Drosophila melanogaster: one gene and its partners. The protein of the gene in region 1 interacts with the protein of each later gene in a pairwise test. Each region holds a gene or a part of one and is shown on either strand. Other genes may lie near its edges.

Region 1 (10,708 bases):
ATGTACTTAAGAGCGGCTAAACAACTCAACATAATTAATGCCTGTTATAATATTGTACTCTTTGTCGGTCTAATTAATGGGAACTTATCTTAGGTCACAATAATTATTTATGCAAATGCAAAAGAGCAGAAGAACGCTAATTGCAGTCTAGTTCAATCGAATCTTCAAAACGGTCTTAGCTAATTATGAAATTTTACGCAAAACATTTACATGACAAAGATCACATTTTGCAATGCATGAAGGCAGCAACAAAGAATATTTTAAATGAAGTGAAACATTTAAATTTGGAATTTTGAAAGGGTGCGTCCTGCGAATTGACGTGGCTCAAATGGGTTGCGCTCATTTTAACAGCTTTGTTTTCGCTTTGAAGTCATTTAGCGACCCATTAAATATTTTATTTGCTTCTCTTGGCGAGAGAGTAAAGATTCGAATCTTTTTTGTACAAAAATCTCATGTGTACAAAATTTTCCTAACAATTGAGTGGATAAACAATTTCGCTTTCATTATCTTAACTTGCATTTACAATTAATAAAACAATTGGCTAATTGGTAGCGGATATAAAAATATCTTGGTATCAAATTGAAGTACCATTTTAAGACCATTCGTAGCTAAATTCAAAATATACACCTTCTCCGATTATCTGTCCATAAATAAATTGTTGGTTTTATGAAATTAAGTGCCTATACACGACACAAGATATAATAGCTTACATTCTACATTCATTTGATGGCGCCATCTAGCAGATAACAATATCATTAAGCTTGTTTCACAACCATTGACATCCTACATTACATCATGTATAATTATGATTTATTTTACGTTTACCAAATATTAGCGATAAGTTGGCCAAATGTTGAATTTGCAGGATTTCAGGAAACTTTGTGGGATTATATTCCAATTTCCTGTCAATGCTTGAGTCGGTTGAGTGAGTTGGAATAATTCTATATAAATCTATTCGTTCCTCTCACAAATTGTCAATTTTTTTGATTTGATTTCACTGATCTATTTACTATTTATTTTATTTTCATACGTTCTGCATATGTCACTTAGGAATCTGAATCGCTGTTCTACTGTAATAAATTGAGGAATTCTTATCGAGTTTTCAATGATGTGATGATACGATGTGAGATTTCATGATTCGTTTAAATACTTATCTTCCACTCAAAAAGAAAGTTTGCATTCTGAAAAAATAAGATCAAACGCGCCCACTTATGCATCTCGTTTGCATAGTTGAATTGACCCTAAAAATCCTTTGAAAAAATTAATATAGTGGGAGTACCCACATGGCAATGTTGATCATAAAAATAAAAGTTATGAAAAAAGGATAATTAAACTTCGCCCAACCTTTAAAAAAAAACTCAAGTATTCTTTCTTGCCTTTATACATTATTTTTGTTTATTTGCGTTTATATTTTTTATATACAAGTTTACAATGAGATTTCCTTGTCATCCGCTTTGATCGATTCGTTTGTCTATATGTTTTTATTACATTTGCCTCTGTATATTGGTTAGTGTATAATTAAACTTTAATATTCGTTATTTTATTGCACTCGGTTTATATACAGCTCAGGTAGAAGCTTAAACTGCCACGTAAACGCATCTAAAGGAAAGAAGGTGTAACAAATGTTTTACTAACTGCAAAATCAAGAATGTAACCAAGAGGCATTACCTAAAACTTGAATTGAACAATGTAAATAACTAATATACACTTCTACGTTTGCGGGATGCAAATATTGTACAAAACACATTCGCTAAAATTATACTTAATCTAGGCGATCCTAATCGACTGAGGATCTAATTTGGGAAGCCTTTGCCGTAAAAGTGCCGCAACGATTTAAAAAAAACCAAAAGATTCTGTATCTTAAGACGATATGTGTGAGTAAAATGATTTCAATAATTGTAAATATTTCTATACTCGCGTTTGTAATGTATATCAATTATGTGTATATCTATGTAGGTAACATATTGTATATATGCGTAAGTACATGAATACATCTATCTGCTATCTGGTAAATATAGGTATTTCATATTCTTTCCTCTTTAACAGTACGAGTATTCACTATATTTGCTTAGTTAACTAGTTTCAAGGTTAACCATTGAGTTCTCTGGTTGTCATATTATCGGTTCCCCCTTGGGTTTGTTCTAGCGGCCAGCGAAGGGCATCAGTGTGAATCCTTAAGAGACGACTTTAAAGCTTAAGATTTGGGTATGCATAAGAGTTCTATTGCGTTTCGATTATGCCGTACATATAAAAAGCCGATAACTGAACAACAGCTGCTAAGAGTTCGATATTTACACTTGTCGCCTTAAATTCAATTATTTGTCAACTGATATTTGGTGAGGTCCACCAGGTGCTCATATAGCATATCCTCCTGCGGCGTCAGTCCGATCATAATCCACCCGGATATGGCGGCAATGCTCCTCGTCACCGACAGGCTGCTCCACACGCTCTGCACACTGTTGCTCAGCTGCTCGAAATGGAGTAAATTGAATATGGAACTCAGACTTATCACCACGATCCTTGCACTTACCATCTCCTGTTGCGTCAGCGTTATGTTGGCATTGTTGTTGAACAGGTACAGCTTCTCGTCGATGGAATCGGAGCAGATGGCTAGGATTATTGTCGCCACATAGATCATGGTGATGATGAGCCACCGAAACGAGATCAGTTCGCTGGCATTCGAGAAGCTCCAGCGACAGATGTCCATCCTACAAATTTGAAATTTGAAAGATTTTTAGTCAATAACTAAAAAAATCTATTTTATTTTCCTCTAGGCTATTACCATATCAAGTGGGCGCTCTTAGATACGCACACTGGAAATAACTTATTCATGAACAAAATCATGGATATTGCCTGAAAGTTCAGCTGCGTATGGTGTGCACTTCCTACAGATTCCTGCATGACCTGACATTTAACAGTAGCACTCCGTTTGTCAGAGGGGCAAAGGTCAGGACACAGACTCCACTTCCACTGCCTGGAGATACTTAACATTTAGCCCAGCCACAGCAGCGCATAAATCAAATGGCGCTGGGATAACGAAGCGAAATGTCATACACAGTTTCACACTTCCATCCAGGCAGCCGAAAATGGCACAATTCGAATGGGCAAACAACGTCAGACAGTTCCTTTGGACCACCTAAAACCCAACCACTCAACCACCCGACCACCCAAGCCATTCAAAACCACCCACACACTTGTGCCATCGACTGGCGCAGCCTTTAAAGGTCAAGAGTGCAGCCAGGGTGGTTTGCTTGTGTGTGGGCAGCGACTTTGGCATGCAAAAAGAGCAAAGTTTAAGGGCATTAAAATATTTTGTGGCTGATGAAAGCGGCCACGCAATGCGAGCGCCGCAAATTTGTATTTCTATGAGAGCACGAAGCCGAACAAGTACCCAAATTGAGGTCACACCATCGCCACCACCACACCATCAGTTCCACGCACACTATTATCTATCAGTGTGGAACGATATCCTCGTGTCTAGACAAAGAAAAATGAAGGAAGTATGTAGAACCGGAGGTGCGAGGGCTAACTACCCACTTCCTTCAGCTGACTTCCAGCTCAATGAAACTCTCAGCGAATCCTTCGCCAACTGAGGTCAATGAGTTCTGGTGGCGAAACTCCATCGCTGCCACTGAGCATTCCCTTCTTGGCCACCTATTTTTAGCCGCTCGTTGACGAAGGTTGCGTGGTAGGCCAAATTGGCTTTTAATCAAGTCAAAGGACATCGAAAGCCCAAAGGACGCAATTGAAATTGACTAAGTGACTAGAAAATTGTAAAATCCATCGCCTAAAGAGCTAAGCTAGCTTAAAGGTGTGTAATCTATACTTATGCTTTATAGAATTCATTTCTTATTTTTCACCAAGATCCAATCCATTACACCCAAACTCACCGATCGAAAACGGAAACCAGACAGATTATGGCCAAGCAGTAGAAGGTATTTAAGTAGATCTCCGCAAATCCGGCGTAGTCACTTATCAGGGCCAGTCCGGATGCTGCTGCGGATGGGGATGAGGATTCGCCCGACTCCGTTCCCCGATCGCCGGAATCGATGTCTATCGCCGATGGTGTCGATGCGGCTGGGGGTTGGGCCGTTGATGACACCGTCTCGCCCGCAAGACTCATGCCATTGATAACCTTGGCCCAGTCCATGGGGTGGCTGCTCAGCACGAAGAGTAGATGGGCCAGAGCTAGACCGGCTAGCAAGCCGTGGCATATGTTCGAGATGAGCAGCCAGATTCGTTGAACTACACAGGCTAGTTGTATGTTGCTGGTGATACCATTGCTAGTAAAATTAAATAAATTGCTGGATTAGAGTGACATCACTGGCATCTACACTACACTATTGTGCGAATGTTTAAATATATTTAAATTCTCAAATAGTTAAAAACAAATAATTTAAATGAGTATTTTCAGCAGAATATTAGGAAAAGTTTTGTGATAACCTTAGATTTGGACAGTTTCATATGCATAACTGACGTCTGAGGTATCATTTCTATTTTCCGCAACTCACCGATTAAAGTCGGCATCCAGCAAACAGCGGGTATCACCGTAGCTGCCACGCCCACTTCCATTTCCGCCCATTCTGTCGCCGCCGTGGGCGTGGCTGCCGCTGGAGCGGAAGAGGCGACCGGCGCCTCCAAGCTCCGCGGCCGAGATGCCATCGAGGCGACCTCCGCCACCGCCTGCACATCCACCTCCGCCGCCGGATGCCGAAATTCCGGCGGATCCACGAACAGCCGCCCCCAGGAAGGAGCGCTTGTAGTAGCTGTGCTCCACGGGTCGATATCCGGATGACGTCTGCAGGAACATCTTGTCGATGTGCGCGGGCGCATCGTCCGTGGGCGAGACGACCGGCGTGAATGGGTTGTAGATCTCCTCGCCATCGGCCGGAGCTATGTCATCGGCCAGCTCCTTCAGAATCGAGGATATACCGCCTGCTGAGTACAACTTGGCTGTGGGAGAAAGAGGGATTCCATTCGGCTATTGTTTGTTACTTTGTTTTTCCATTCTCAGCTTCTTATGAGAACCATTTGTTATAAGTTTGTTATAAACAGAAAATGAATCAAATAAATTGTAATTGTTTGTGAAATAATCGGTGTATCAAGTTTTACTTAGTTTATTTAAAGAATAATCAAACAAGCTCGTCTAAGACGGCATGGTATCATGGTATCAAACGAGCCAGTGCGCAGAATCGAGAAAGTGGTGGGTGGATGTGCAGGTGGATGGGTGGATGGGTGGATGGGTGGATGGGTGGAGCTTTTGCTGCAAATGGTTTTACTGAATGGAAACTGAGATCCGGAAGTGGGTGACACAGGGTCTACCCAAAAAATATCAGTCAGGTCGTTTTGCGGAACTTATCGTTGGGATTGGGTACTATTTTGAATTCCCAATTACTTTTAAACAAACTAAATTCAAGCGCAAGCAAAAATATATCAATTTAAATATTAATTCACCTGAAGAGTTTCAAAACTAGCATTTAACTTGTATTGCTTTAAATAAGCCAGTATATTAACATCATTAGTATTTTCAATGAAACCCCAAGCGCAATACGAACATGAATTCATATTTTTATACATTTTTGGTCGCAAAACACAAACTAATTCATGTTAATCTATCATCATCATCAAATAACTTGTTTAATTTCTTACATTAAGTAAGTTATTAGAGATGGCTGAAGTGCGAAAAGTCAAAATATACTCACAGATTAGCTGGCCCCGCTTGTCCCTTTGCGACTTGGTCTTCCGGTGGACGCGTCTCTCCTCGAGGCTCTGGTCGATCTCGAGTTCGCCGGAAAGCGAGGCGTCGTGCATGTCGGAGCACTGCTTGAGGTACCGCATCAGGGTTTCGTTGGCCTGCCGGACCTCCATCTCTCCGGCGGCTATTAGCTTCCGTTCGCGTCTCCGCCGAGACTCCGACTTGCTCCTTTTGCGCCGCGGACTCTTGTCGAAGCTGCTCCTCGAACGCAGGGATCGCTGGGCGGGACTGGCCTGTGGGTCGGAGAGGGACTGCTGTTTTCTCGATGCGCCCGTGCTAGTTCCGTTTCCAGTTCCGTTTCCGGTTCCGGCGGGGGCGGAGGGCGTGGGAGAGCTCTGCTTGAGCTCCCGGTCCATGTACCCAAGTATTCCGCGATGAAAGGACGCATCGGGATCAGCAGGTGAGTGAGTTCGCCTGGACCGATGGTGATGGGTGGCCGGTAGTTGCTGCAGGGTCTCCCGCAGACTCATCGCATCGCCGGATGAGTTGCGACTGCCATCGCTCTGCTTGGGCGGCGGCGGTGAGTCCCTGGTATTGCCTGCGCCCAGTGGCGACTCCTCCTCCCCCTCCTCCTGGCCCGGCGGGGCGTGGCCGTTGACCAGCACCACCGTTTGCTGCGACGTCTGGCTGGGCGAACCCACCAGCTCTATGCTGTCCGCCGAGCTCTGGGCACTGATGCGACCCGCACTGCTTGGCGTACCGCCGCTGCCGCCCGGATCCGCGGATACCACGCCCTCGTTGAGGGCTGTGGCACAGTCCAAGGCCTCTGCCCGCTCGGGCGTGGTGGGCGTTGGAGCTGCCGCTCCCGTAGCCACCGCCTCCCGTTCCAGGCGCCGCTGTCGCGCCTCCGTGCGACGATGCCGTTGATGCTGGCGGTGCACCTTTGCCTCCATTTGGACTTGTGGGATGCTAGATCCGATCCGAGCCGAGTTGAGCCACTAGGCCAGCTGCATAACAGGTGGACACCCCCTGGGAACGGGCACGGAAACGGGAATGGGAGTGGGAACTTTGTGCTGCTGCAGCTTTTGACCCAAATAACACAGTGCACACCCACACACACACACACACAACCGCGAGAGGACACGACCACAACGACAATCAGCGAATGCAGCTCAGCTGCGAGCTGGTGGCATTTCCTCAAGGCTCCACTTCAGCGCACTCTGCACATACGGATATCATTGGCGACCGAATAACTGATCACTTATCGGATAGATCAATCTCTTTGTTACGGTACTGCGTTCGATTTTTACTCGATTACTGCGTTATCCGTGCATTGTTCTTATATTCCTTAAAAAAATATTCACGAGGCGAACGGAACCGAAACCAAAGCACCGCGTTCGAGACTCTGTTCTGCAATAACAACGAATTTGTCATTGCGAGGGGCTTAAATAGACGCAGCTCTCCCAACTTTAAAGCCAACATTACCCTCTGACGCCGACTGCTCTGCCTCTGTTAACGGGGACAAAATATACTGTTACTTTCTCAACTTACGTCGATAAAGCATACAATACACCACGGTTTAAGCACATGATAAAAATTTGTAAATACTATACAACATTCATTGTTTTGCTTTAAATACCGGTTGACAGGCTCGATATAACAATCTTCCAGACACGTTTAAAATTAAATCGATTTTGGTTCTTAACATTTGATGTCTACGAATTTCCTCGCCCTTCAAAACATTAATATCTAAAATTTTACATATTCGACTTTTGACCGGCAGTGTCAAATGCTTAAGCGCAGTCTCCAACCTATGTTAATCCTGGCGCACTGTTAACTGTAACAGTGACGCCCACGCCGACGTCAACGTAGACGTCAATGAGAAGCGAACGGTATTTTCGGAACGCCATTGAGAGCGAACACGTTTCAATGTAGCTGTAGCGTAGTAACCGTTCGAGAGAGAGAGAGAGCGCTAGAGCTTTAAGGACAATGACGTCAACAGTGCGTGCCTGTGCACCCACACATTGCAGCCATTTGTGTAATAGTGTGTGTCTGTCTATGTGTGTTGCTTGTGCTTGGGTTTGTTGGTATTATTGACAAATTCTATTTTTAGGCATCTATAAAAATGTGCGAGCTGATGATGGGATTTTATTGACAACACCTGAACTCACACTTAAAAAGCAGCTGTGCTTCACTGTGAGAAACTTTGCTGTTTATTGGGCGGGATTTTAAGACAATGTATGGAAATAATTAGTAAATGGAATTTTATACATTTTTAAATTCCTATTTTGCCTGTCTTTTTCCCCTTCTACTACGTCATATTCTGCAAAAACCGATTTCGCCCACGCGTCTCTTCTCACTCCACCACAATCACCATCACTTTCTCCATCTCTCTTTCTCTCGTTCTACCTCTCTCTTTCGCACTTTCTCCTCTGTGCAATCGATAAATGCGTGGTACGATGTCAGCTCACTGCGCAGCTTTCGCCTCTGATGACGTCAATGGAAAAAGCTCAATCCAAAACCAAAACAACAACAGTGCCTCCCTTAGGAGCCAACCACCTCCCTCTTACCAAAATAAATTGACAAAAGCCGGCAAAAGCTTGACAGGCGTCAGGAAAATTGGATTATAGTAAAACTGAGAAAACAGAGAGGGAGAGAGGGAGAGAGAGAGCGGGACAGACAAAGAATCCTTATGGCGTTGGCGTTAGCTAAAGGCCCTTGAAATGGCAAAAGTCTGTGATGCGGGCGGATCCAGAATATATATCCATATAACATAATATGCAGAAAACAAAATGATTGAAAATCAATATTTTGCGTTATTAAATTTTGTGACTATTTTACACATAAATGTCTAGAACTGATAATTAATTGTTATCCTGTTCATTCGCCTCTGAACAGAAATAACCGCGAAACTCTCACCGCTCTCCCAAGCCAGACAGACATCCTGGAAGAGAGAGAGAGAGCGAGCGAGTTTGACAGAAAGAGGAATGTAAAAAACCTCGGTGGTAAAGAGTTTGAGTGCGAACGTCACGACCATGACGTCACACTGACGTCAGTGGGCGTATTGCCAAAAAGAAAACGCTGTTGCGGCGGAATGAATGAGGGCGACGGAATGCTGCAAAATGGCAGATCGATATAAAACTAAGTCCTTTCGTTAAATTTATACTGAAATAGCGTGGCCAAATAAGAAGTTTATTCACACAGTACATGCACAAAGAATATTTAAGGTCCATTGATTAAAGCTAGACGTTATTGAATTGTAAGTCTTCTAGTAAACAATTAAATTTAACCAAAATGGTTTTTAATAAAAATGGGGCACACAAATTATGTGACAGAATTATTACATATGTACATTCAATGATCTATTAGTAAGGTAAAATGGTGGAAGTTTATTGCATACTTCTTAGGACCATAAACATGTTGACTATAAGTTAACAATATAAACTAGCTAATTAAAAAGATAAAGACTTGTTTGATTGCTTGTTATGTGAACAGAATAATGTCTTGCTCTCATTAATGAAAATTATTATAGTTTATAATATTCAGCCGGTAAGCGTTAAATAGTGATCTAATGAACAACAAAAATGGAAAGTGACAATGCCACCAAGTAGCGTTGCCAGTGGATACGCTTGGGTTGTTAGGTCAATATGGACAGACAAAATACAGCAGAACACTGAAGACATATGTAGGTGTTGCACTAAGAAATATTAATAATGCCACTGCTGGAGGCACCTGCGGACTACCTGGAGTCCTCTCCGGATCAATCGCTTCAGGCGGAACTGCCCATCCTTCTGGCACCGCCAGGACCGGCCGCCTTGGCCCAGGTCCGGATGCCTCCGCCCGAGGTGCGGCTCAATCAGCAGAATCCCGCACAGCAGCAGCAGCAGCGGATGCAGTTCAACCGCCGCCAACTGGGTCGCCGGAACTCCTTCGATCGGGATGTGGCCATTGCCGAGGAGGAACAGCACCTTCCGGCCTTCGTCCACCTGCTGCCCGTGGTGCTACCCCAACAGGGCCCGGAACCGACACTGGACGAGCTACTGGTGGGTGCACGTTAACCTTGTGACGAATTAAAAGTGATGAAGTGGTATTAAAATATTGTTTGCTTAGCGCCGAGTGACGCAACGCACGGATCTGGAGGCGGTGGAGCAAGTGCGTCTGCGCGTGATCTCTTACACAGTCAGCCTGTCCCGCCTGTCGCTCTTCCTGCCGCGCCTCCAATCCCTCGACCTGAGTGGCAGTGTGCTGAGCTCCCTGCGCGACCTGGGCTATGGACTCCTCCAGCTAACCCGGTTGGACATCAGCAACTGCGGCCTGAATAGCTTCGACGGCACCAGTGGACTGCCGGCCATCCGTGTGCTCATCGCCGATGGAAACATGATCCAGCGGGTTGATCCGCTGGCCGAACTGGTCCACCTGCGCGTTCTCAAGGCAAGGAACAACCGGATCAGTGAGCTGGGCCTGCTCTCCTTCTTGGGAATGTGCCCGCAGCTGCAGGAGGTGGAGTTGCAGGGCAATCCCGTGTGTCGTTTACCGCTCTACCGCTCGCTCCTGGCGCGCAGTGTGCCCACGTTGCAACTGTTGGATGGACGGGTGTTGAACGGTGAACCTGCTCCGGTGGAGATGGAGGAGGCCACATCCCCGGCATCAAGTGATCTGGAGTCTGGCTCCGAGACGACTGCACAACGGCCGAACACGGCGCCTGCTCCGGAACCCGTTCCTATCGCCTTGAATGCTGCCATCCGGCGCCAAGTGTCGGCCAGCTCTGGCTCCACTCCAGTGGCCGGATCGGTTTTGAGCCTGGTGCGCCAGCGGCGAAGGCGCAGTGGCCACGCCTGGGTCAGTTCCTCCTCCTCCAGCGGATCGTCTTCCGCCTCCTCTGCCCGATCCACGCGGGCGCCATCAATGAGCTCCTGCTCCTCCAACAGCAGCCTCGACGTCCAATCATCGTCCCATTATGTCTTCAGCACACAGTCAACGCTGGACTAGACCACACTGCAAAAAAGTTAATAT
Region 2 (7,977 bases), on another chromosome or scaffold:
CATGGTGGTAAATACGGAGGAGCAGCCAACAACGATTACTGTGAAGAGTACCAGTAGTTTGAGCAGTAGCGAGATTTGGCAGTATGTACTGACTGGCCATGATCAAAGGGTCCAGCTGAATAATGTCCGCTTGCACTTGAACACCACTTTGCGTCCCCTGATCAAACCCATTGATCCAACAAAGCCACTGCAACTGATCACGCCCAGCATGGCGGTGAGTTTCTGGGTGCTGCCCGATGTCAATCTGGAACACTGCCAGTTCACGGAGATCGAGGCAGGCGATTCGAGTGGGGAGTCCTCCAAGGAGAAGCGCCGATCATTCCGCTATAGTTCCGCCGATCGGTTACTCCAACGATTGATCGAGGAAACTGCAGTTGCCCGAGGCTCGGTTCAGAGTTCTATTAATCGCAATCGGAGATTTGTCGTTGATAAGGAGGAAACGTCACAGACCCTACTAGATCGACTACTGGACCATTTCAAGGATGACGGTCCGCTGAAGAGGGATGTGGGTGATGAAGTGAACAAGTCCAAAGAACAGGCTATTAAGCCTCATAAAGCTCTGGCCTGGCTGTATCAAGTGCTCGAGCACACCCGTGACATGGGCAAAAAGCGGGAGAGACGCGACACATCCAGCTATTCCGGGCCCTTCTTCTACAATCGCCAGGGTAAGAAGACAGCATTGACGAAGAAGATTACTGAGATCCGGAAGCCGGAAAAGAAGAATAAGCCCCTTTTCGACTTCGATGAATTCGATGAGGAGAAGTTCTTCAAGCGCATTGGAGAGAAATCCGAGGAAATACCCACTTACACACGGCTTCCAGAGGGTGATGTCCACCTGAAGCACATTGAGACTGTGGATGGGGAGGTGGAAAACGAAGAGGAACTTGAGCGGGAGGTACCCAAAAAGCGCAGGACCAAGTCCAAGAGTCAGCTAAAGATCATTCAAAGGGAGGACAAAGAGGATGAACAGGAGCAGGAACCGGAGCAAACAGAAGGGCGTCCCAAGTTGCGTCTACTGCCCACGGAATTCTTTGAGGCCCTACCAGCTCCCAAGCAGAACAAGCGATTAAATCTGGGAGCCACCTTGAACTCACTGCTATTTCCGGAACCCTTCTCCAGCAAGGCCACCATGGCCAAGGCTAGTCTGTCCCAAAAACCCAAGTCTGTTGAAGAGTCCGAGCCCGAGGAGGATGTGCAACCGGTGCCAAGTGCTAGAAGGCGTCACTCCAGGCTAGGTCACGTGGCCAACGACTTTTTGCAGGCCCAAAAAGAGCTTGGAAAGCATTTCCTCAGCCACATCAACGAGCATGAACACGAGTTTTCTCTAGGAGATGAGGGCATGCGGGAAAGTTCCCTGGAGTCGGCGAATGTCGGTAGGAAGTCCCTCATACAGGATCATTTTGAGGGAAAGAAGGCAACGCCTACTCTTCATTCGAAATTGCCTCAAAAGCCAGCCGATGAGGGTATCACTTCCTGGTGGGATTTACCAGCTATGAGAAGGCGGCGTGCCGTACTTAACACTAATTCCCTGGCTGAACTGCCCTCCAATGCCATAGACAAGGCAGATCGCGATGAGATGATGCCGCTGGGAAGGTACACCTACTACGAGTACAAGATGGATCACGAGGCAGAGAAGGATGCCAGCCAGCCCAGGGAGGAAAAGGAATCCAAGATCATGAGGATCAGCAGCAAGAATTCGCTGGCCTCTGGTCGTAGTCTGACTAAACTCTCCGAAAGCCTCGTGAGCACTATGAAATCAAAGGTATCTCGCTTCATCAACATCATATCCAACCATATGAACGAATGGTACAACACCTTAACCAAGCACTTGGAAACGGATGCGGAAACCCAACCACCCCGCCGACAAAACAGCATTGAGAAGTAGAATGACTTATATTACCATATGACCTTGTTTAAACTGCCAGCATTATAACCGAATGTAAATATATATTTATTTTCAAACATTACTGCATTCAAAGGAATTATATTTGAGCGATAATTCTAAGGGAATTATATTTTTCAAATAAAGCTATATACAGGACTAAGGCAACGAACTAGACGGGCTTAGACTAAGCTTGTGGTAGATTGTTGAGCATTCTTTATTGTACTTGTGAATATGTCATCTCTATAATAAAATGCATTGAATTGAAAAGAATGTTGATATATTTCAGTGGTATCTCGGTTAATGATATATGAAATGAAAAATAAAATAGATTTTTATCTGACATGTTTATACAATTACCCGTAGTACTTCAAATAGTAATAAAGTCTTGGTCATTAAAAAAGTTAATTACTATCCATTATTATTTTCTACATTATTTCAAGCTCATCATTCGAGCTGCATAACTAGAAAAGAAGCTTTGCGAAGCCCCCGACAGGTGGCTTTCTAGACACACTTTCTTGGAATCCACTACCCAGATCTTTCTCTTACCGCTGGTAACTATGTATTATAGTTTGGCTCCACTCTGTGCTCGCTCTTTCGCTGCGAGTGAACCGTTCATGAAGACGATCCCAAAGAGGAGCCCGGAAAGCCGCTTGGCTAACCTGTTACCATGGCTATAAGTGCAATAACAAAATCACCGCGACCACGGCAATACCAAACCGGTGGAGACGATCGCGCATTCTCCGCAGCCTCGGCTTTATAATCGGAATTCCGACTTCAGTCTCCGATTAGTCGTTCAAGGCGAAGGTTGTGGCACTAGCTCTTGGATCCACCAATTCCATTTCGCAGCGCAGATATAGTCCAAAGTGCAGGTCAGCAGAAGTTGGAATAAATTATAGATCAGCCAACAGCCAAAACAGGTGAGTTTGCACTAAAAAACTCGTCTCCGACTGGCAAAAGTTGAGGAACAAAACCCAAAAACGGGTCACTTCTAGACTTTTTCATACATCTATAGATCTTGTTTCTTTTCGAGACTGCATTGTAGGGCGTGGTTCGGTTGGGGGGGTTCTTAAATGGTGCATGCAAGCGTAACCAGAGCCAGTCTTCGAGTCTTGAGGAAAGCTCTTGGAAATCTTTGTGACGTGGACGGTGGGGGAAAAAAAAAACAAACAGAGAAGAAAAAACCAGAAACTCAAAACGACATGAAACTTCAGACTTTCTTTCTTGTTCAACCTTCTTTCGTTTGGGCTGTCAATGAACTTGGTTGAATGTTATTTTTTTCGGCGTTTCATCATAATAAGCCATAATTACGCACATGTGTGAAAGTGAAAGTGTAAGTTTTCTCAACAGTTTTCGAAATTGATTTATTGACAGTCACTGATAAACGATTTGAATTGTGAAAACCTTCGCCGACTAACCAATATCCCCAAAACCATGAAACCCCAAAACCCAAAACCAAACTCGTTTCGTTATGCCCTAAGACAATCGTCTGGCTTTGGCAGCTTCGGTTATTATATAATCTGATTTGCATGTTGACACCGATATATACGTATATGAAGATACAATATATAGTATACACACCTCGGCATATTTGTAGGATGGGTTTCATCTTCGGTTGGCTGTCGACCGAGCACTATGTGCGCGACATCTTCCTCATGACTTCAGTGGCCGCCATAGTGGCCACCCTGATGAGCATTCGGTTCTATCTGCGCATCACGGCGGGACGATGTTTCACCGAGGTAACGAACGCACCTCACCCAATCCAAAAAACCAAGTCCCATGCTCCCCAGAATCGCGACACGACTCGAATATTTCGCACTTTATATGGCTGTTGCTCCCACTTCCGCTGCGAATTCTTTTCAGATCTTGTAGATGAGCTGTCATATACATACAAATGATGGTGGGATAGTTTACTAAAACAGTATTCGGACACGACCTTAAGCTTATTAATCGCTCAAAACTTTTACAAATTTTATATATTCATATAAATGCGAACTATTCAGATAAACATTACAGATCCATAATTGAAAATGGTTCAGCTTACCGCTCTATAGAAAACTACATATATCACTATCTGGAAAAACCCCATATAATTAAAACGATTCTGTAGCATTCCAAGCATTCCGACTATGGAAATCTTTTAACTATATATGAAATCACCACTAGGAAAACTTAACGTGTTTCAATCTTGTTATTACATTGGTCAGTTGTGACGCGTCGACTTAATTACAGATTAAATTAGATACCTTCTGAGAGGCGAGGTACGTCACATCTCTGAGCTACGATTACCACCTGACCGAACATTGTTCGTATCCCACAAAACATCTAAGCTTCTGGGTATCTCGGTTACAATCTGTGAGATCGCTTACCTCTGATTCACAGAAAGCTCTCAGCACTCGAATGGCAATTAAGCGACCCGTTAATGGGTCTGAAAACTAAGATAGCTTCCGTTCCAGACGAACTGCGATTACTGTGACTGTGAACAAGCGCCAACTAATTAGTATTGTAAACATATTTTCGAACCGCCCTCGTCCAATTTTCGATTGCAGCGCCGTATTAAATGATTAACCTTCGACATTGATTACAGACAAAGATGGAGGGCAAGACAGTCATTATCACAGGCGCCAACAGCGGAATTGGCAAGGAGACGGCCAAGGATCTGGCTGGACGTGGAGCCCGCATCATCATGGCCTGCAGGAACCTGGAGACTGCCAATGCAGTGAAGGGTAAGTGGACCAAGACAATGCCTATGAGGTTATGCCAAGGATCTGGCAGGACATGCAACACGGTCAAATTCCGATAACTGGTCTCATCCAGTTGATTATAGACTCTGGCAAAAACTGCTTACTACCAATGATCTTTTTTTATTAAATATTTACGTTGTAATTACTTTAAAGAAAGTATCTTATAATATGTTGGCGTTGCATTAACCATGTTTTTTTTTACATAACCGAATTTTGTAATTTATTGTTGATTTCCCACAGATGAGATCGTCAAGGAGACGAAGAACAACAAGATCCTAGTCAAGAAACTGGATCTGGGCTCCCAGAAGTCCGTCCGTGAGTTCGCCGCTGACATTGTGAAGACCGAGCCCAAGATCGATGTGCTTATCCACAATGCCGGCATGGCTCTGGCCTTCCGCGGACAGACGAGTGAGGATGGCGTGGAGCTGACCATGGCCACCAATCACTATGGACCCTTCCTGCTGACGCATCTGCTCATCGATGTACTAAAGAAGAGCGCGCCGGCTCGCATAGTCATCGTAGCCTCGGAGCTGTACCGCCTGTCGTCGGTTAACCTGGCCAAGCTCAATCCCATCGGCACTTTCCCGGCTGCCTACTTATACTATGTGTCCAAGTTTGCGAACATCTACTTTGCCCGGGAGCTGGCCAAGCGGCTGGAGGGCACCAAGGTTACAGTGAATTTCCTGCATCCCGGCATGATCGACTCGGGCATTTGGCGTAACGTTCCCTTCCCCCTCAACTTGCCCATGATGGCCATCACCAAGGGATTCTTCAAGACCACCAAGGCCGGCGCCCAGACCACTATCTATTTGGCCACATCCAATGAGGTGGCCAATGTGTCTGGAAAGTACTTCATGGACTGCAAGGAGGCCACCCTTAATGCTGCTGCCCTCGATGAGGAGAAGGGTCTCAAGATCTGGGAGGAGTCCGTGAAGATTGTCAAGCTTACGCCCCAGGATCCCAAAATCTAGACGGGTGTCTGCGGCTGAGAGCCAACGCACAATTTACTGATTTACTTTTCTTGTTTTTAAGGGGGAGTTTACTGTAGCCTAAGTTTTCTCAATAAAAATGATTTTGTATAATTAAATGTGGCTCGTTTTCAATATGATATATTTGCTGTCAGAAAAAAAAGCACATCAAATTTCTGACTATATATAATATATTACAAAGATCTTGGTTGTTATATCGGTTGCTCGTGAGTAAAAGGGTATACTAGAATCAAGACTAGAATATAGTCTGGATCAAGATCAATAGCCGAGTCGATCTGGCCATGTTCCTCTGTCCGTCTGAATGTCGAGATCTCAGGAACTTTAAAAGCTAGAAGGTTGTGATGCAGCATACAGATTCTAGATACATAGACACAGCGCATTCACACTAACTGAGCAACGGGTATCTGTTAGTCGGGGAACTCGACTTCTTATTGGCACAGGATTTCGGCTTGGATTTGCAAGGGGACCGTTTTTGTATTACATGTAATATATATTGACAGTCACTCGATAAATCTTTTGCTAGGTAACTAGATATGACAATTCTGACAAGTTTTGAACTTTTCAACTTATTGCTTCTCGTTATTTATTTTGTAGCTGCAGCTTCTTAGTCAAATGATCTTTAAAAAAGTTCTTCTAGGTATTGAGATATGTTAAAAAAAAAATATAAACCAATTTGCTCTATAAGACATTTTACTAAAAGTAATGAGCGTCCATTCATCCCTCTCCTAATACACATATATTTCAGAAAGAATTATGCAACTACTGGTTACATTTTACCCGTTACTCGTAGAGTAAAATTGTAAAAATATGTAACATAAAGTTGATATATTCTAGATCAGGATCATCCGTATCCGAACGTCGAGATCTTAGTACCTCAATTTTTATTGGTCTTGTGAATTGCTTTCGTTTTGTCACGCCCATGATTACTTTTTTTCTTATTTAATATTAATTACAAATAAGCAAACCTGGTTCACCCTAAAAATTAACAGCCTCTGTAAGCTATAACAGGAGTTACTGTTAAAAGCTGATGTAATAATAATTTTATGTATGGTCTAGAAATTAACTGAATCCTGGAATAATTGTTTTAATTCAACTGATATCCATCCTGGATACTCCGTTTCAAATTAATTTCATGAGAATGCTCGAGAACGACAAATCACAGCGCCAATCGGGTGAGGCAAGGTAACCCGATACAAATGGAGAGGGGAGCAGAATCGGGGAAAGGCCGAAAAATTCTCACACAAAGTTTCGTTGGACTCGCTCACCTGTTGAGGAGGACCAAGGGGGTGGATGGCGGGAGGACTCCCGGGGGACTCCGTCGACATGTATAATCTGATAAAATTGCAGTCGCATCCTTTGCGGGCTGTCACCACGCCTGTTTCTGCAGAAACGGAGGGTTGCGGTTGTTCGCTTTTGCGTAGATTGCTATCAGCTCCTCGACGGCACGTGACTTGCCCAATGATGATGATAGTGCCGATCGGTGGCTAATAATATGTTAAATGGCGTAATTGAAATTTAATATTTATCCAAAGGATTACAGGATAATCATTTGCGGCTCACCAAAATGGCATTAAAGATAGCGAAGCGTGCGGCACCGCAGATAATTGAAGGACCAAACGCCCCTTAATTCGCTACTGTGAGAAACCAATAGATCATCGATCGGAACTTTTCACAGGATTTGTTTGCGGAGGTGATGCCCCAATAAAAAACAAACAAAGAGTGCGTTTTTACTGCTGCATTGGTTTGTATCTGTCACCCAGAATAGCAACTTTATTGATAAGATACGAGTATACCGGTAATGAACCCTTCTGGTACCGAAACCCCCTTTTGTTTTTGTTTTTCAGAAAGTATCGCCTTACAAATTCAATTTGGCGCGCTTCACTCAAGTGTACTCATATCCAGAAGGACGAAAAGACATTGTTGTGGCCAAGTTCAGTTTGTAATTCAAGTAGTTGTCTCCTTTTCTTGGGGGAGTCCTTCGACCGTACTTGTATCTACTTCTCCCCCTGGGTTTTTAATAAGTCGCGGGCATTTAATAAGCTGGCTTAGGTTTTTAATAAGAAGTGGGTTATGCGACAGTCCCGATCCCGATGCCGAATCGTCCAGCTGTCAGGACAGCGGTTCGTCCTTCCCCATCCTGTCCAGCAAATGTCAACTGGCAACGGCTGCGCCTGTCACGCGGTCATCGATACTCTCCTCGGGAGCGGGGGCGTCGGTTGTCGGCCCAATTGCACTCACAGATGTCTCATGCACTCCAGTTCCAAAACTCTACAGTTCCTACTAAGTCATATCATAGAAACCATACAGTCCACGCCAGTTGTCTATATCACTGGGGAAGTGTTATTTACAAGTTAAAGGATCC
Region 3 (6,293 bases), on another chromosome or scaffold:
CAAGCCACCAAAAGTTAATATGCCAATTTGTATACTTTTTATTTCACTTAACAATTTGCGTTTCGCTTTTGTTCCATAATGTGAAGCAGCATTTGGACGTGAAGCAAAGATAAGCTAACCTACTAATAGTTCTTGGACGACGACGTCGTTTACAAGTCTTATAAAATTTTATTGCACGTCTTGAGCCTTGGTACCCAAAATTATGTATTATCTGAAACAAAATTTAGCTGTTTATAAGACCTGTAGATACCGACAAATATATCAAAATTTAAGCAATAGCTAAAGCTTTATTAATCTTAGAGAGCAATGCTGCTTCCATTAATAAACAATTAAGTTAATTAGAGCACCAGACTAATATTTCAACATTATAGGTTCCGCCAATTCGCTAAATGGAAGCAGCTCTTGCTCAAAAATTACCAACTCACAGAGCTCTTTCGACTCCAATCAATCCGTAGTGGGCAGCTCGAACACGGATCGGGATATGGAGTTTCGAGCCAACGAAAGTGATGTGGACATCATCTCCAATCCGAGCCAGTCCAGCATAGAGGTACTAGATCCGAACTACGTGCAGAGCGCCAGTCGCAAGACCTCAGAAGAGCGCCGCATATCCCAGCTACCTCATCTGGAGACGATACACGATGAAGTAGCGAAATCGAAGAGCTTCATCGAACGCGAGTTTGGTCAGCTTCTGGCGGAGCAGGCTCAGCCTACGACACCTTCGACTGCAGCTCCCTTGGCTCCTGCAAAATCGGCTGTCCCATCCCATGTACCGCTGACAGAGAGCAGCTCGTCGGGATCCGTAACGGACAGCATATGTACTACCTACGAGCAGCAGGCCACTGATGCGCCACAAAATCTACAAAATTCCCTGCTCACCGAGTCGTCAAACAGCCAAGTTAGTGGTTCGGATGCGGAATCTAATAGCCGTTTGAAAAGCGCCGAGGATGCCAGCCTGCTGCCTTTCGCATCTGTATTTCAATCAACCAATCTGCTCATGTCCAGCTCAAAGAAGTTGATCGAGTCGGAGGCAACTGTTTTTGGTACCCAGCCGTACAAGTTTAACTACAGCGACTTTAATGATATCGATCACCGTCTGAAGCTCTACTTCTACCAACGAAAGTTCAAAGAGGATGGCGAGCATTTCAAGTGGTTGGCCAAAGGTCGCATCTACAATGAGCAGACCCAATCCTTGGGAGAAGGGCTTGTGGTAATGTCCAACTGCAAGTGCTATCTAATGGAGGCCTTTGCAGAACCCCATGACGATGTGGCCAAATGGCTGAGGCAGGTCGTCAGCGTGGCAGTCAATCGTTTGGTGGCCATTGATCTGTTGCCCTGGAAACTTGGCTTGTCCTTCACCTTAAAGGATTGGGGAGGATTTGTCCTGCTGTTGCATGACATGCTGAGGACGGAAAGTTTACTGAATTATTTACAACGTGAGTTAACTTTTTGCATGTTGCTTTTTTCCTAATACTTATTATATTTTTTAACAGAAATTCCTCTGCCTGAGCAGTGCAAGCTGAATCATCAACCATCTGTCACACTCAGCCATCAGTGGGAAACTATTGCGTCCGAACCAGTCAAGATGTGCTCCCTGATTCCCAGCTGCCAATGGATCTGTGACCAGGAGAAGAGCTCCTTTGAACCCTCCCTGCTCCTAATCACGGAGACACATTTGTACATCTCAGGAAATGGCAAATTCTCGTGGCTGTCAGATAAAGTTCAGGAAAAGCCCATTCAACCAGAACTTAGCCTTAATCAACCACTGAGCAATTTGGTCGACGTGGAGCGCATTACAGACCAAAAGTATGCGATCAACTTTATTGATGAGACGCAAAACAGGTGCGAGATATGGAAGTTGCAGTTCGAAACGCATGCCAATGCCGCATGTTGCCTGAATGTCATCGGAAAGGGATGGGAGCAGCTATTTGGAGTGCCATTCAGTCTCTCTGGAACGTGAGGAGCGAATTACACTAGAAAATTGAATATAGCCTGTACCAATTATTGTGCAAAGTTTAAAATTGTTGATCTTAATTGACTATGTTATTTAATGTCAGATTAGTTTTATTAACTTAGGCTAGAGCTTTCAATCAATAAGAAATGGTGCTGTACCACGATTTAAATGTAAATATTTATAAATATAGAGGTTATTATTTTTTGAAGTCCTTGCAATATATTCATATATTACAGAATTAAATCGTCTAAATTGTTTTATTTGTTGTTAGATGAATTATAGTTGGTATCAGTAAGTTGATATTACATATTTGCTTCTATTTACACATGAATAATATTATTGGAAACAAAAGAACTACAATATTGTCAAGGAATTTTGTTTGCTAATTAAATAATATTCACACGTGAGTTATAAATGTTATATGCATTTAAACTCGGTCGGATTTATTTTCGACTTATCTGTTAGTGCTATCTACTTGATAATTTCGGCATAGAGGTTTTTCATTTCTGTTTTAAATCGGATGTCTTTATAAACTATTATCTATTTCTATTAATTATCTATATACAGTACACTTCTTATGCTGACTCACTCATCGAAGAGTCCACTTAACCAGGTGTCTTACTTATCGCCCAGCTGATCTGCGATCCAGTCAAGATGCTCCTCCTTGAAGCGAGGATCTGCCATGGTCAGAGCCGTCGACTTGGAGCTGTAGTAATAGAAAACCGACACTGCGGGAAAGAGGAAGATATTAGGATAAGTGTGGAATGAATATTTCCGGAACTCACTGATGCGCTGTGCCACTGATAGGGCAATCAGACCCAGTGGCCAATGATGACCGTCCTCTTCTGGCGGCTGACGGTATTGGTAGATGATCCAAAAGTGCTGGGAGGCGGACAGAAGGAAGTAGATGGTAATGCTGGCCATGAAGAGCTTGCAATTCCGCAGGATTATGTGCGAGGCGCCGACCTGGTACACACACGTCGAGTGCAGGGCGAGGGTGAACAGCAGGTACTCCGCGATAATCAGGGCATCCTGAGTGCTGTGGTAACGTGCTGTGTTCAGAAAGGATATCTTCTCCATTCCCTAAGATACTCACACAAAGAGAATTATGGCTGTCTGCAATCGGTTTCTGGCCAGCGAAGGACCAAAGGCGTTGCAAAAGAGGTCCACTCCCAAAAGGGCGAACTGGAACAGGAGCACCCAGGAGTAGCGTCGCAGTGTTAGCTTCATGGCGGTGTCCAAATGTCAAGCGCTTGTTTTCGGTCAATTTGTTGCGTGCTGACTGTGCGGGGGTTTGTTGTGTCCTTCGTCCTGGTGACGTCAAAGCTACCACTGCGGTCATGCGCTGTGGATTTGTACTATCCCCTTATCGATAGACAGATTTCCATGGAGAACTGGTGAAACTTTGAAAACGTGTGGAAGGCATTGGCGGGAACAGAAATGGGTACGTATTTTTAAAGACCAGGTTACAAATTGGAGTCAGAAAACTATATATTATTCTGGGTTGCTTTTATTATCAGACATATCGAGCATATTCAAAAGGGTACTGCTGCCGTTTTCCCGATCGGAAGGTGTCCATTCTGCCAGCCTGTCGCCGGAATCTCCTGTAGTACTGCTGGTTCATCTCGGAGTAGAAGTTTGTGGGCAGTAGGTGAGACCAACTGTGGTCGCCTTCACCATTGTGGCGGTCCAGAAACTGGAACATCGATGCGGAAGTGACTTCGGCAGCCCCTGTGCGCCAGAATGGCCAGGTTGGATTTAAGGTCACCAGAGCCAAGACCAGAAACCAGAACGTCATCGTCTTAGCCATTTGTGAAGAGAGCTGTTTGGCCAAAACCCGGCACCCAATACCCTCCTCCAAAGTCGACTGCCGGTTGCAGGTGGTCAGCAGATTTCGAGCCGGGGTGCTTCCATTTGCATTTTTTTCGGAACGCTGTCGTTCTACTCCGTCAGTGCGATCAGCGTTTTCCGAGTGGGCTATAAAGTGGATTGGCTGGGAGGCTACAATCAACAGTCAGCCTTCGTTCGTCACTTCAGCAGCAAGTAGAGACAGCTCAAGAACCATCCGCAATGGCATTCAACTTTGGTCACCTCCTCATCGCCGGCCTCGTGGCCTTGTCCGCCGTGTCCTCGGAGACCATCCAGCTGCAGCCCACTCAGGGCATCCTCATCCCCGCCCCGCTGGCCGAGAACATCCGTGTGTCGCGTGCCGCCTACGGAGGATACGGCGCTGCCCCAGCCGCCCCATCGTACTCCGCCCCAGCCGCTCCCGCTGCCCAGGCCTACTCTGCTCCCGCTGCCCCAGCCTACTCCGCACCCGCTGCTCCCGCCTACTCCGCACCCGCTGCTCCTGCCTACTCTGCTCCCGCTGCCCCAGCTTACTCTGCCCCAGCCGCACCAGCTTACTCCGCACCCGCCTCCATTCCGTCGCCGCCGTGCCCCAAGAACTACCTGTTCAGCTGCCAGCCCTCCCTGCAGCCCGTGCCCTGCTCCGCCCCAGCTCAGTCCTACGGATCCGCCGGTGCCTACTCCCAGTACGTGCCCCAGTACGCCGTGCCCTTCGTCCGCGAACTTTAAGGATCGAAACGAATCTGACTTGACATCTGAACCTAAGAATAAAGTAATGCTTTCATAAAAAACATTTAAGATATTTTATTGAAGGGGTATCAAGGGTTTTATTGCTTTTCTACAAGCTATTAAAAAAGTTTCAGCTCTCTGAAATAAATATAATTATTACCGATATGATGCAACAAATTTAAGGTTTTGTGTTTTACTAGTACACCTTTTTTTAAAAAGAACAAATTCGTATATGCAAAACGAGTAATGGGCTGTAAGCAATTTTGAAATTCTAGAACACTTTAGATATATCTTGTTATTTATCGTCTTAGCAATGATTAAAGCGGCACAAAAAGTTGCTCCCAATTTTGGTCTAAAACTAATCCTGTTTATATATTTAATAGTGCCAAACAGAAGTCTTAAATAAATAATAAATATTAAAAAGATTAAAATATTGTTTAAAATTTTCACTTTATTAAAAATCAGCTAGTTCATCAATATGAGCTGTACCCACATGGAACCGGCTTGATAACCGCTTCGCAGGAGAACACATAGTTCTTTGGGCAAGCTGGAGAAGGAACTTCACTGAGTGTGGTTTGTTGTTGGTATGTTCCCTGAACCGGTACCTGGGCCTCATCCTGGTCGTAGCTGCGAGCGAAGCCAAATTTGCCACGTCCAAAACCAGGACCTCCGAAGCCGGGACCTCCGAAACCGGGACCTCCAAAGCCGGGACGTCCAAAGCCAGGGCCTCCGAAGCCCGGACCTCCGAAGCCAGGACCTCCAAAACCAGGTCCTCCAAAACCAGGTCCACCAAACCCGGGACCACCAAAGTTGTTCTCCACGATTACCTCCTGTACGATTTGCTGTTGCCTCCTCCTACGGTTCAGATACGCATCCGAGGGCTCGACAGCTGATGATCTCGATGGCAGGCTCCTTAAGCACCCTGTACTTCCTCCACAGGTCGAGGCTTCCAAACCAGCCTGCTGACCCAGAGAACTCGCTCCGGCCAAAAGGGCAAAGAATCCGAGATACTTCCACATGCTGACTTGATATGGTGGCGTTGCAAGCTGAGAAAGCCGAGATGCGGCGTTGTTCAAGTGGCTTTTATAACCTCATGCCACCAGAAGTGCACAACGAAGCGGAAACGGAGATGGCCAAGGTAACACCCAACAAGTGGGTCACTTGGTCGCACATTCCAGAGGGCGAGTGGGATCAGAATTGGGGCGAAGTTGGAAGTTCGAGAAAATGGGCCATTGGCTAGAAGGGGTTAATCCGCTGGGAGGGCCCAAGTCACTACTTGGCTGGGCTCGGAAACCCTACGAGCACCTGAAACCCGAAGGTCAGCACATTGTAGCCACTGCTGCTTTCCGGCTTGTAGGCTGACCGACCAGTCAAGCGATTGATGATGGGATCCGATATCGCATTACCCAATCGCTTGCACTTTTCACTTTTCAATTTTCCGCTTTGTCGCTGATTCGGATGTGTCGCAAGCATTTCTTCTAGCTAAAATATACATTTATGTACAATTTAATAACTATTTTGTTTGGTACCAGCATTTCCTGCAGTTCAGTGACCCACAACGAGCTGCTTGGCACAAAGGTTAAAAACTGAAAGTTTGCTTAGTTACAATCACCTGTATCTGGCGGATGTAGATTTAATCGGATTGGGAAAAGCTGGAGGCAGTAGCCGAAACTACATTTCCTTTTTCAGGAATTTAATAGCTAACGATTTTAAAATGGTTTTATGGTGGTTATAAAATGGTTATAAAATAAATTATTTTAGTACA

The links.
Region 2: the proteins of CG14186 (region 1) and CG7675 interact in a two-hybrid assay, tested with the Drosophila melanogaster proteins (one large-scale study listed by BioGRID).
Region 3: the proteins of CG14186 (region 1) and CG13999 interact in a two-hybrid assay, tested with the Drosophila melanogaster proteins (one large-scale study listed by BioGRID).

Annotation. Positions count from the first base shown.
Region 1 is NT_037436.4:20,096,713-20,107,420, forward strand, and holds CG14186 (uncharacterized protein), read right to left. Parts: upstream 7,116-10,708; 5' UTR 6,649-7,115; coding exon 5,703-6,648; intron 4,954-5,702; coding exon 4,512-4,953; intron 4,284-4,511; coding exon 3,891-4,283; intron 2,709-3,890; coding exon 2,531-2,708; intron 2,468-2,530; coding exon 2,312-2,467; 3' UTR 1,372-2,311; downstream 1-1,371. Other genes in the region: CG14185 (uncharacterized protein), read left to right, coding at 9,409-9,738, 9,806-10,684.
Region 2 is NT_033777.3:18,375,857-18,383,833, reverse strand, and holds CG7675 (uncharacterized protein), read left to right. Parts: upstream 1-2,655; 5' UTR 2,656-2,802; intron 2,803-3,097; exon of another isoform or gene 3,098-3,215; intron 3,216-3,479; 5' UTR 3,480-3,480; coding exon 3,481-3,621; intron 3,622-4,469; coding exon 4,470-4,608; intron 4,609-4,866; coding exon 4,867-5,597; 3' UTR 5,598-5,710; downstream 5,711-7,977. Other genes in the region: CG14309 (uncharacterized protein), read left to right, coding at 1-1,885.
Region 3 is NT_033779.5:5,953,045-5,959,337, forward strand, and holds CG13999 (uncharacterized protein), read right to left. Parts: upstream 3,423-6,293; 5' UTR 3,182-3,422; coding exon 3,048-3,181; intron 2,991-3,047; coding exon 2,737-2,990; intron 2,680-2,736; coding exon 2,570-2,679; 3' UTR 2,268-2,569; downstream 1-2,267. Other genes in the region: CG9044 (uncharacterized protein), read left to right, coding at 1-13, 372-1,433, 1,491-1,957; CG13998 (uncharacterized protein), read right to left, coding at 3,468-3,761; Vm26Ab (vitelline membrane 26Ab), read left to right, coding at 4,022-4,528; Vm26Ac (vitelline membrane 26Aac), read right to left, coding at 5,002-5,547.